2 linked regions of the Sus scrofa genome follow. The protein of the gene in region 2 interacts with the protein of the main gene of each other region in a biochemical or structural test. Links are inferred from orthologs where the notes say so. Each region holds a gene or a part of one and is shown on either strand. Other genes may lie near its edges. The genes, in order: MEF2D and CABIN1.

Evidence for each region.
Region 1: the proteins of CABIN1 (region 2) and MEF2D form a complex in vitro, tested with the Homo sapiens proteins (2 studies listed by BioGRID). The link is inferred for Sus scrofa from reciprocal best matches to the Homo sapiens genes CABIN1 and MEF2D.

What each region holds. Positions count from the first base shown.
Region 1 is NC_010446.5:93,608,991-93,612,795, forward strand, and holds part of MEF2D (myocyte-specific enhancer factor 2D), read left to right. Parts: intron 1-2,744; coding exon 2,745-2,973; intron 2,974-3,450; coding exon 3,451-3,757; intron 3,758-3,805. UniProt on the Homo sapiens protein: Transcriptional activator which binds specifically to the MEF2 element, 5'-YTA[AT](4)TAR-3', found in numerous muscle-specific, growth factor- and stress-induced genes.
Region 2 is NC_010456.5:49,756,693-49,760,497, forward strand, and holds part of CABIN1 (calcineurin-binding protein cabin-1), read right to left. Parts: coding exon 3,793-3,805; intron 3,053-3,792; coding exon 2,900-3,052; intron 1,793-2,899; coding exon 1,598-1,792; intron 1-1,597. UniProt on the Homo sapiens protein: May be required for replication-independent chromatin assembly. May serve as a negative regulator of T-cell receptor (TCR) signaling via inhibition of calcineurin. Inhibition of activated calcineurin is dependent on both PKC and calcium signals.

The sequences.
Region 1 (3,805 bases), on a different chromosome or scaffold from region 2:
AGTCTCTGGTCCCTCGGGTGTGCTCCCCGCATGCGCACACTCCTCGGGCAGCTTCCAAGAGGACGGCTTCAGGTGGCCGTGCACGCGAGGCCAGGAAAAGTTCTCATCTGTGAGAATTATGGGTGGACAGGAGGTCTCTGAGGCGCTGCCAGCCCTGCCAGCTGGGGCTCTGGGCCCTGACTAGAAAAACTGGCTCCCCGAGGGCACGCACATGTGCGCCGGGGTGGGGGGCAGTGGGCAGTTGGTGAAGGGCAGCCCGCTTTTCAGGAGCTGCTGGTGATTTGAGAATTCCATGGCAGTGGTCTTCTGCCGTCTTCTCAGGTCCCCCACCGGTGTTTGTGAAGCAGGAGGGAGGTTAGTGGGTGCCAGTGACCCTGGGACAGGTGCTCAGCAAGGCCACAGTTTAGACTCTATTTGTCGATCTATTGTGATGGCAGATTCTGACCTGCCCTTGGAGCCCTGCTGGGAAGTGTTTGGGCTTTCTCAGATCCTCTTAGAAACCAGGGGCTCCAGTTCCTCTTGCTGCAGGAGTCGTTAAGCAGACCTCAGTTTAGAGAGCAGGTGTTTTCAGGTGACCCTATATATATAAACAAAACCCAACAGACGCATCGCTGTTTAGTCGTTCATTGTTTACAGTCCTTGGCCTCAGCCCAGGGGCCAGCTAGGTGGGAGTGATCTGCCTATGGCGATGCCATGGGTAAGGGACAGGCCCGGCCTCTTGTTTATCCTGGCTGCAGAGGTCTGCCGGTGGTCATTTTAGGAGCAGACTAAGGGGCCTGCTGGAGAGCCACATCTCCAGGTAGGCAGGCTGGAGTGTGGCGGGGAGGTACAGGACTAGGGGTCAAGTCCTTACCATTCACGGGCTGAGGGACATCAGGCAAGGCACTGCACTATTCTGGATTGGCTTCCTTGGTTGTAAAATGAGTGTTGTAAATAGGTAGTCTTGTAAATACAGGCATCTCCAAGCCCCTGGCTTTGTTGTTATGAGACCAGAGGCAAGCATGGACCATCTATAGAGTGAGATTTAAAGGTAAGAAAGAGGCCTGGGGGTCTTGTTTTAGCTCTGCCATTGGCTTTGTGACCTGAGGAGAGCTCCTCAAACTTGAGGCTGCGGTGACCTTATTTGTCATTTAATAACAACAGCAGCTGAATCTTTTGAATGTTTCCTACGTACCAGACAGGGCTCTACACACTTCATGTCTTAACTCACTCAGCCCTCACCACAGCTTTGTGTGCCGGCCGGATTATCGCCTCCGGGGTATAGACAGAGGCAGTAGCTTGCCCCAGGTCCCTTGGCCTCTAAGTGGAGGTGGCCAGGAAGTTTGACCCCATGGCTCATGCCCTTCACCTTACTGTTCTGTCGCACGCATGAGCCTCCCTTCCCTGGTAAAGACAGAGGGCTGGAGCGCACGGCCCCTTGGGGCTGAGCACGGGGGTGTGGCACCAGGACGACTGGCACGTGTGCCTCCGCGTCACATGGCAGTGCGACTGGCCTGTGTTCCTCAGGGACGACATCTTCTAAACTGTCCCACGCAGGCCGAGGTGTGAAACATAAGGGAGCTGTGTAAATTGGGAACCGTCTCACGGTTCTGTTTGTTCTGTGACCGTGCAAACATCACAGTTTCTTCATTAAGACAGGAATCGTAGGAAAGAAACAGCAAGCGCCACCTCATGGGGAAACCTGCCAGAACCTTGGCCAGTTGTGCCGCAAGCCCGTGTCCCTCTGCTCTCATGGGCCCTTCTGGGAGGCAGACAGTCGTCCTCTGTATGTGGGGGACGGGGTGTGCAGAGCAGCTGGAACCCTTGCTGTTCCCTGTTTTATGTGTTGACAGTCTTCAGGAGGCTGAGGGACTTTGCGGAAGGTGGGATGATGGAGGAATGGGCTCGGGGTGCGTCATTCAACCTAGCACTTGCTGCGACTCCCCTCTAGCTCAGAAAGATGCTTGAAGACTTGGCAGGTGAAGAGGGGACACTTAGACATAGATTCGATTTTCTCTACCTACCTTTCTTCCCCTTCTTTGTTTTTAAATTGACATTCCAAAAGTGATACCTACAGATGGTTAAAAAGAAGCCAAAAACTATTGTAAAAAACTACTTCTCTTTACATCCTGTTAAAAAGCCAGCTCCTTAGAGTTCCTGTCATGGTGCAGCTGAAACGAATCTGACTAGGAACCATGAGGTTGTGGGTTTGATCCCTGGTCTCACCCAGTGGGTTAAGGATCCGGTGTTGCCGTGAGCTGTGGTGTAGGTCACAGACGTGGCTCAGATCCTGCGTGGCTGTGGCTGTGGCCTAGGCCGGCGGCTACAGCTCCGATTGGACCCCTAGTCTGGGAACCTCCATGTGCCGCGGGTGCAGCCCTGAAAAGATAGAAAGACAAAAAAAAATTTTTTAAAAGCCACCTCCTCATAGTTACTAAGATTTGTGTTTCTTGGGGAGTTCCCGTCGTGGCTCAGCGGTTAGCGAACCCGACTGGCATCCATGAGGACACAGGTTCGATCCCTGGCCTTGTTCAGTGGGTTGAGGATCTGGTGTTACCGTGAGCTGTGGTGTAGGTCGCAGATGCGGCTCAGCTCAAATCTGACATTGCTGTGGCTGTGGCCTAGGCTGGCAGCTACAGCTCCAAATTGTACGGGCTTATGTAATTATTCACGTGTCATTAGCAACTGCCCCATCTTGACAGTCCTTGTGGGGCACGGCAGGAAGCTCATCCTCACTGCCTTCCCTTCCCGTCCGCCCCGTGCAGATTACCAGTTGACCAGTGCGGAGCTCTCCTCCTTACCAACCTTCAGTTCGCCTGGGGGGCTGTCTCTAGGCAACGTCACCGCCTGGCAACAGCCGCAACAGCCCCAACAGCCACCACAGCCGCAGCCTCCACAGCCCCAGCCGCAGCCGCAGCCCCAGCCGCCCCAGCAGCCGCAACAGCCACCTCAGCAGCAGCCCCACCTGGTCCCCGTGTCTCTCAGCAGCCTCATGTGAGTCCTTGGGGGCCGCCCCAAGAGTGTGGGGGAAAGAGAGTTGAGGGGCGGGAAGAGGAGGGCCTTCTTGAGAGCTGGGGGTCCCTTTGAGGTTGTCTGTCATCAGTGGACAGCACGGAAGCCACTAAGTGGCAGCCCTGGAGGCCCCTGTCCAGGCCTGGGAGACCTGCCCTGTGTCTTCGCCCCCGCCCCCTGCCCCCATCAGCCCTGGGGTGGGGGTGGGCCGGGGGCCCCTGGACTGCAGAAGGTGACACAGGATGGAAAGACAACTAATGTGACTTCTTTCCTTCTTCCCCCTCACTCGGCCCTCCCCCTCTTCTGGTCCCCCTGTCTGTCCCCTTGTCGCTCCCCTCCCCTACCCCCCTTCGTCTCCTTCTCTGTCCTCTCTCACTGTCTCGTGACCTCCTCTTCACTTTTTCTGTCACTCCCCTGCTCTCCTGTCCCCTGTGCCCCGTGCCCATCACCTTTCTCCAGCCCGGGCAGCCCCCTGCCCCATGTGGGTGCTGCCCTCACGGTCACCACCCACCCCCACATCAGCATCAAGTCAGAACCAGTGTCCCCCAGCCGTGAGCGCAGCCCTGCGCCTCCCCCTCCAGCTGTGTTTCCGGCTACCCGCCCTGAGCCTGGCGACGGTCTCAGCAGCCCGGCGGGGGGCTCCTATGAGACGGGGGACCGGGATGATGGACGGGGGGACTTCGGGCCCACACTGGGCCTGCTGCGCCCAGCCCCAGAGCCTGAGGCTGAGGGCTCAGCTGTGAAGAGGATGCGGCTCGATACCTGGGTACTGTAGCATCACCCCTCCTGTCCGCCGTTGTCTGCTACACCCAGG
Region 2 (3,805 bases):
GGCTTGTCCACATGGGGAAAGTGAGTCTGCGTGTCTGGGCAGGGCAGGAGCAGAGGGGTCCAAGTCAGACCCCAGCCCTACAAAAGCCTCATGAAGCTTTAAATGCCAACAGGAACCCAACACCTAACACTGCTCTGCCTGTCGATCGACACGCCCCCTGCCGACCTCTCTCCCGCCAGGGCCAGCTCCAGGGCACTATGGGACCTCCAGTCTGTCACTGTGCTCCAGGAGGGTAGCACACTCTTCTAGTCTTGGAAAGGCTTTCTAAGCATAATGAACAAAACCACCAACGTTTGAAAACATCAAGAGGTCTGCTGACATAAAGATTCAAAAAAACACAAGTTGCAATTTAAAAGCAAACAACAAACTGGGAAAAAACATTTGATGAGAAAAAGACTAGTATATAAAAAGCATACCAAGTCAATAAGAAAACACACCCCCATGAGGAAACTGAGCAAAAACCAAGAATCACTTTTGCAGAAAGCAGCAGCTTCCACAGCCCTGGGCCTGGCCCAGCACCTCTGCAGGCAGCAGCCCGTTCCCACAGTGGGGCACCCACCACGCCCGGGGTTCCAGACCACAGAGCGAGATGACCTGGGCCACAGGGCTGGCTTGCAGAGGCGAGGGCTGGTCTTCCTGACATGCCAGGTGTCCCTCCCACACAGCCACAGGCACTGAGGCTGTCACGTCTTGCCCCTGCTCAGCGTGGGCTGGCCCTTTCTCCTGTCTCCTCCTCACCCCATCCCTCCCCTCACCAGGGAGAAGATGCCTCTGCTTGTTCCCAGTCACACCTCTTAGCCACTTCCCAGCTCAAGAGTTATTAAAATGTCTCACAAGATCTAAGCAAAAAGCCTGGGGAAGACGGGGCTCTTCCCAAACCAAAGGGAAAGGACCCAATAAAATAATAAACATAAAGGACAGGGAGAAAGCAGCACCTCTACTGCAACTAAGCACATCCTGTTGATCATCATCTGTGTCTGTCTCCACATCTGACTCCACGAGTGCTGAAGACGGTAGCGGGTAGATCACCAGCCTGTCCAGGGCTTGTACCCACCAGATTGGATGCCAACACACACTGACTCACAAATCCCCACAACAGGCCTCGGAGGCAAGTACCATGGTCATTCCCGTTCCAGAGGGGAGAGGCTAAGTAACCGTCCAGACCCCAGCAAGCTCTCAGCGGGGTTTAATGCTAAGGATAGGAGGCTTGCAGGGAGCCGAGAGGGCAGGAGGGCCTCACGCAACACTCCTATCCTTCTCCACCAACTCTGTGACTCTACGTGGCTCTTTACCTTACCTTGACCCTTCGCAGCGTACAGACACCTCATCCACTTTTCTATGTACCTGATAGCTCATATAGATCAGAATGAAAGCCAGGCAGGTGAACAAAAGGGAAGACGGATAGCTAGAGCCCTGTCTCCCGCACAGGCATTCAGAGCAGGCGCAGGCTCACCTCAAGTCCTGCAAGCCTGGGTTCCAACTCCCCTGAGCCTTCTGACCTGTCTTTCTGGTGCTGAGGTGGTGCATTTCCTCCACTTCTCCTTAGAAACCGCCCCAAGCAGGAGGCTGAGCGCAAGGGGTCCCAGGCCACACCCACCTGCAGCAGCAACAGCTGGGCCGGCCTCTCTGGCACGGATGTCATGAACTCCAGGTGCTTGGCCCGGTCGAACCCACTGGGGCACAAGGTGGGACGGAGCAGGCGCACCACGGCCTTGTGGTCACCAGCCTCGTACAGTCGCTGAGTCTCCTCCAGGGACTGGCACCGTTCCAGCGACCTCAGGTTCTTGTCAATCTGGAAAATGCCCAGAATCACTGCCTGACAAGCCCCGCATGGGCTCCCTGGGTGCGGCCAGTGTCCTATGTTTAGCACACCCGAGGGAGGTGCACGCTTACAGTGATGCTTCATAAAGAGTATTTCTATGGAGTTCCTATTGTGGCTCAGCAGAAATGAACCCGATTATCATCCATAAGGATGCGGGTTCGATCCCTGGCCTCATTCAGTGGCTTAAAGGATCTGGTGCTGCTGTGAACTGAGGTATAGGTCACAGGGCAGCTCAGATCCCGTGTTGCTATGGCTGTGGTGTAGGTTGGTGGTTATAGCTCCGATTCGACCCCTGGCCTGGGAACTTTCATATGCCATAGGTGTGGCCCTGAGGGGGGAAAAAAAAAGAAAAGAAAGAAAAATAAAAGAGTATTTCTATTAAGGTCAAGACACTTACATCTTTGAAGAACAAACACACAAAATCCAAAACTACCCCAGAAGCAGAGAAGTTCCAGAAAGTGTCTGCCAAGAAGCTGAATGGCCTCATGGTCACAGTTCAGCAAACTAGACTCGTGGACATACAGAGTGTCAGGTGGCCAGAGAGCCAGCAAGCCCTAGGCCCGAGGCTGACCCAGAGAACCCCATCCTCACAGAAGGCCCACTGAAAAGGCAGTAGGGGTACTGCAATCAGACCTGCCCCAAAACACCTCTGTAGGCATCTGAAGGCCATGTTCAGACCATGTGGATATGTCACAGACATGGAAACGTGGGCGCAGGGTCTTAGGCTGCACAGTGAGAACAGGATTAGAACCACACAGCGCTGAGCCAGCACCCGGGCTGGATCAGCACTGGCTGCCTCTTTGGGGCTTTCCTTGTCATCCACTGGGGCTGCTGCCACACGCAGGCCAGGGAGCTGAATGACACCCCTTCTCCATCCTGCCACAGACACCTTCACTCTGCTCCCACCACCTGCCCCCGGATGCACTCCCCAGCTGGGCCTACCTGCAAGTCCGAGGTGCCCAGAGGCCCAGAGCTGCCCTGGGCCCTGGGCCACCCTGCTCAGCTCGTGGGCTGCTCTCCCAGTCCTCATGGATAGCTCAGACCTCTGACCAAGAAAACACCTTTAACCCCCCTCACCTCCTCCAGGGAAACGACCGAGTCGTTGTGGAGGTTGGGCAGGCGGATGACGATGTCCCTCTGCTGGGCCCCTGGTTGTGTGCAGATGGCCGAAGAGCGTTGCAGCATCTCTGTGCAAATGTCGTAGTTCTCCAGAGCCTGCTCCATGTCCCCCTAGGCCAAGTAGGGTAATTGCTGCATGGTACTGGGCACCTGCCTTCCTAACCCCCCCACCCTGGACGCCTCGAGGGCATGTGGGCCCGACTGCTCCCCCCCACAGAGGGGCTGGCACAGAGCTGGGGCACAACAAGCATATGCTGATGATGGAAACCAACTGCAGCTCTAGGGGAGAGCTGTCACTCTCGTGGTGGAAGTGGGGACACCAGGACATCTGAGGGAGGGCGACAATCTGGTTGAGGAATCCAGCAAAGGTGGCAGAGCCAGGACTAGACCCCAGCTGGTTCCAGTTCCAGAACCGATTTTTGCCTGTGCGTTCACTCCACTGCAAGGCACCAGGTGCCAAGTGTGTGAGGGGCAGGGATGGCCGGCCCACCCTAGCCCTCCAGACACACTGCAATCATGGACAGGTGCCCACTCCCATCCAGAAAGCTCTGTGCGCCCCCTTCCCCGGGTGGGCACTCAGGCTCTCTCAGGAAAACATAAGTCAAGGGTCAAAGCTGTGAGGCAACCTCGTGTGGGTCTCTGGGGGCATGTGAGCCCCTCCCAGAGCCGCACTGTGCTCAGATGCACCTCACAGATAGTGGGCCTGCCAGGATTTCCAAGATGCTACAGGTTCCCCACCTTGTCCCACGTCCTCACACTGAGCCCGGCGCCCAGGCCGGTCCCACACACATGCAATGCCCTCCCAGCTCGCTGCCAGGGCACCCTCCCCCAGCAGCCCACCACAGACCAACCTGCAGTGCCAGG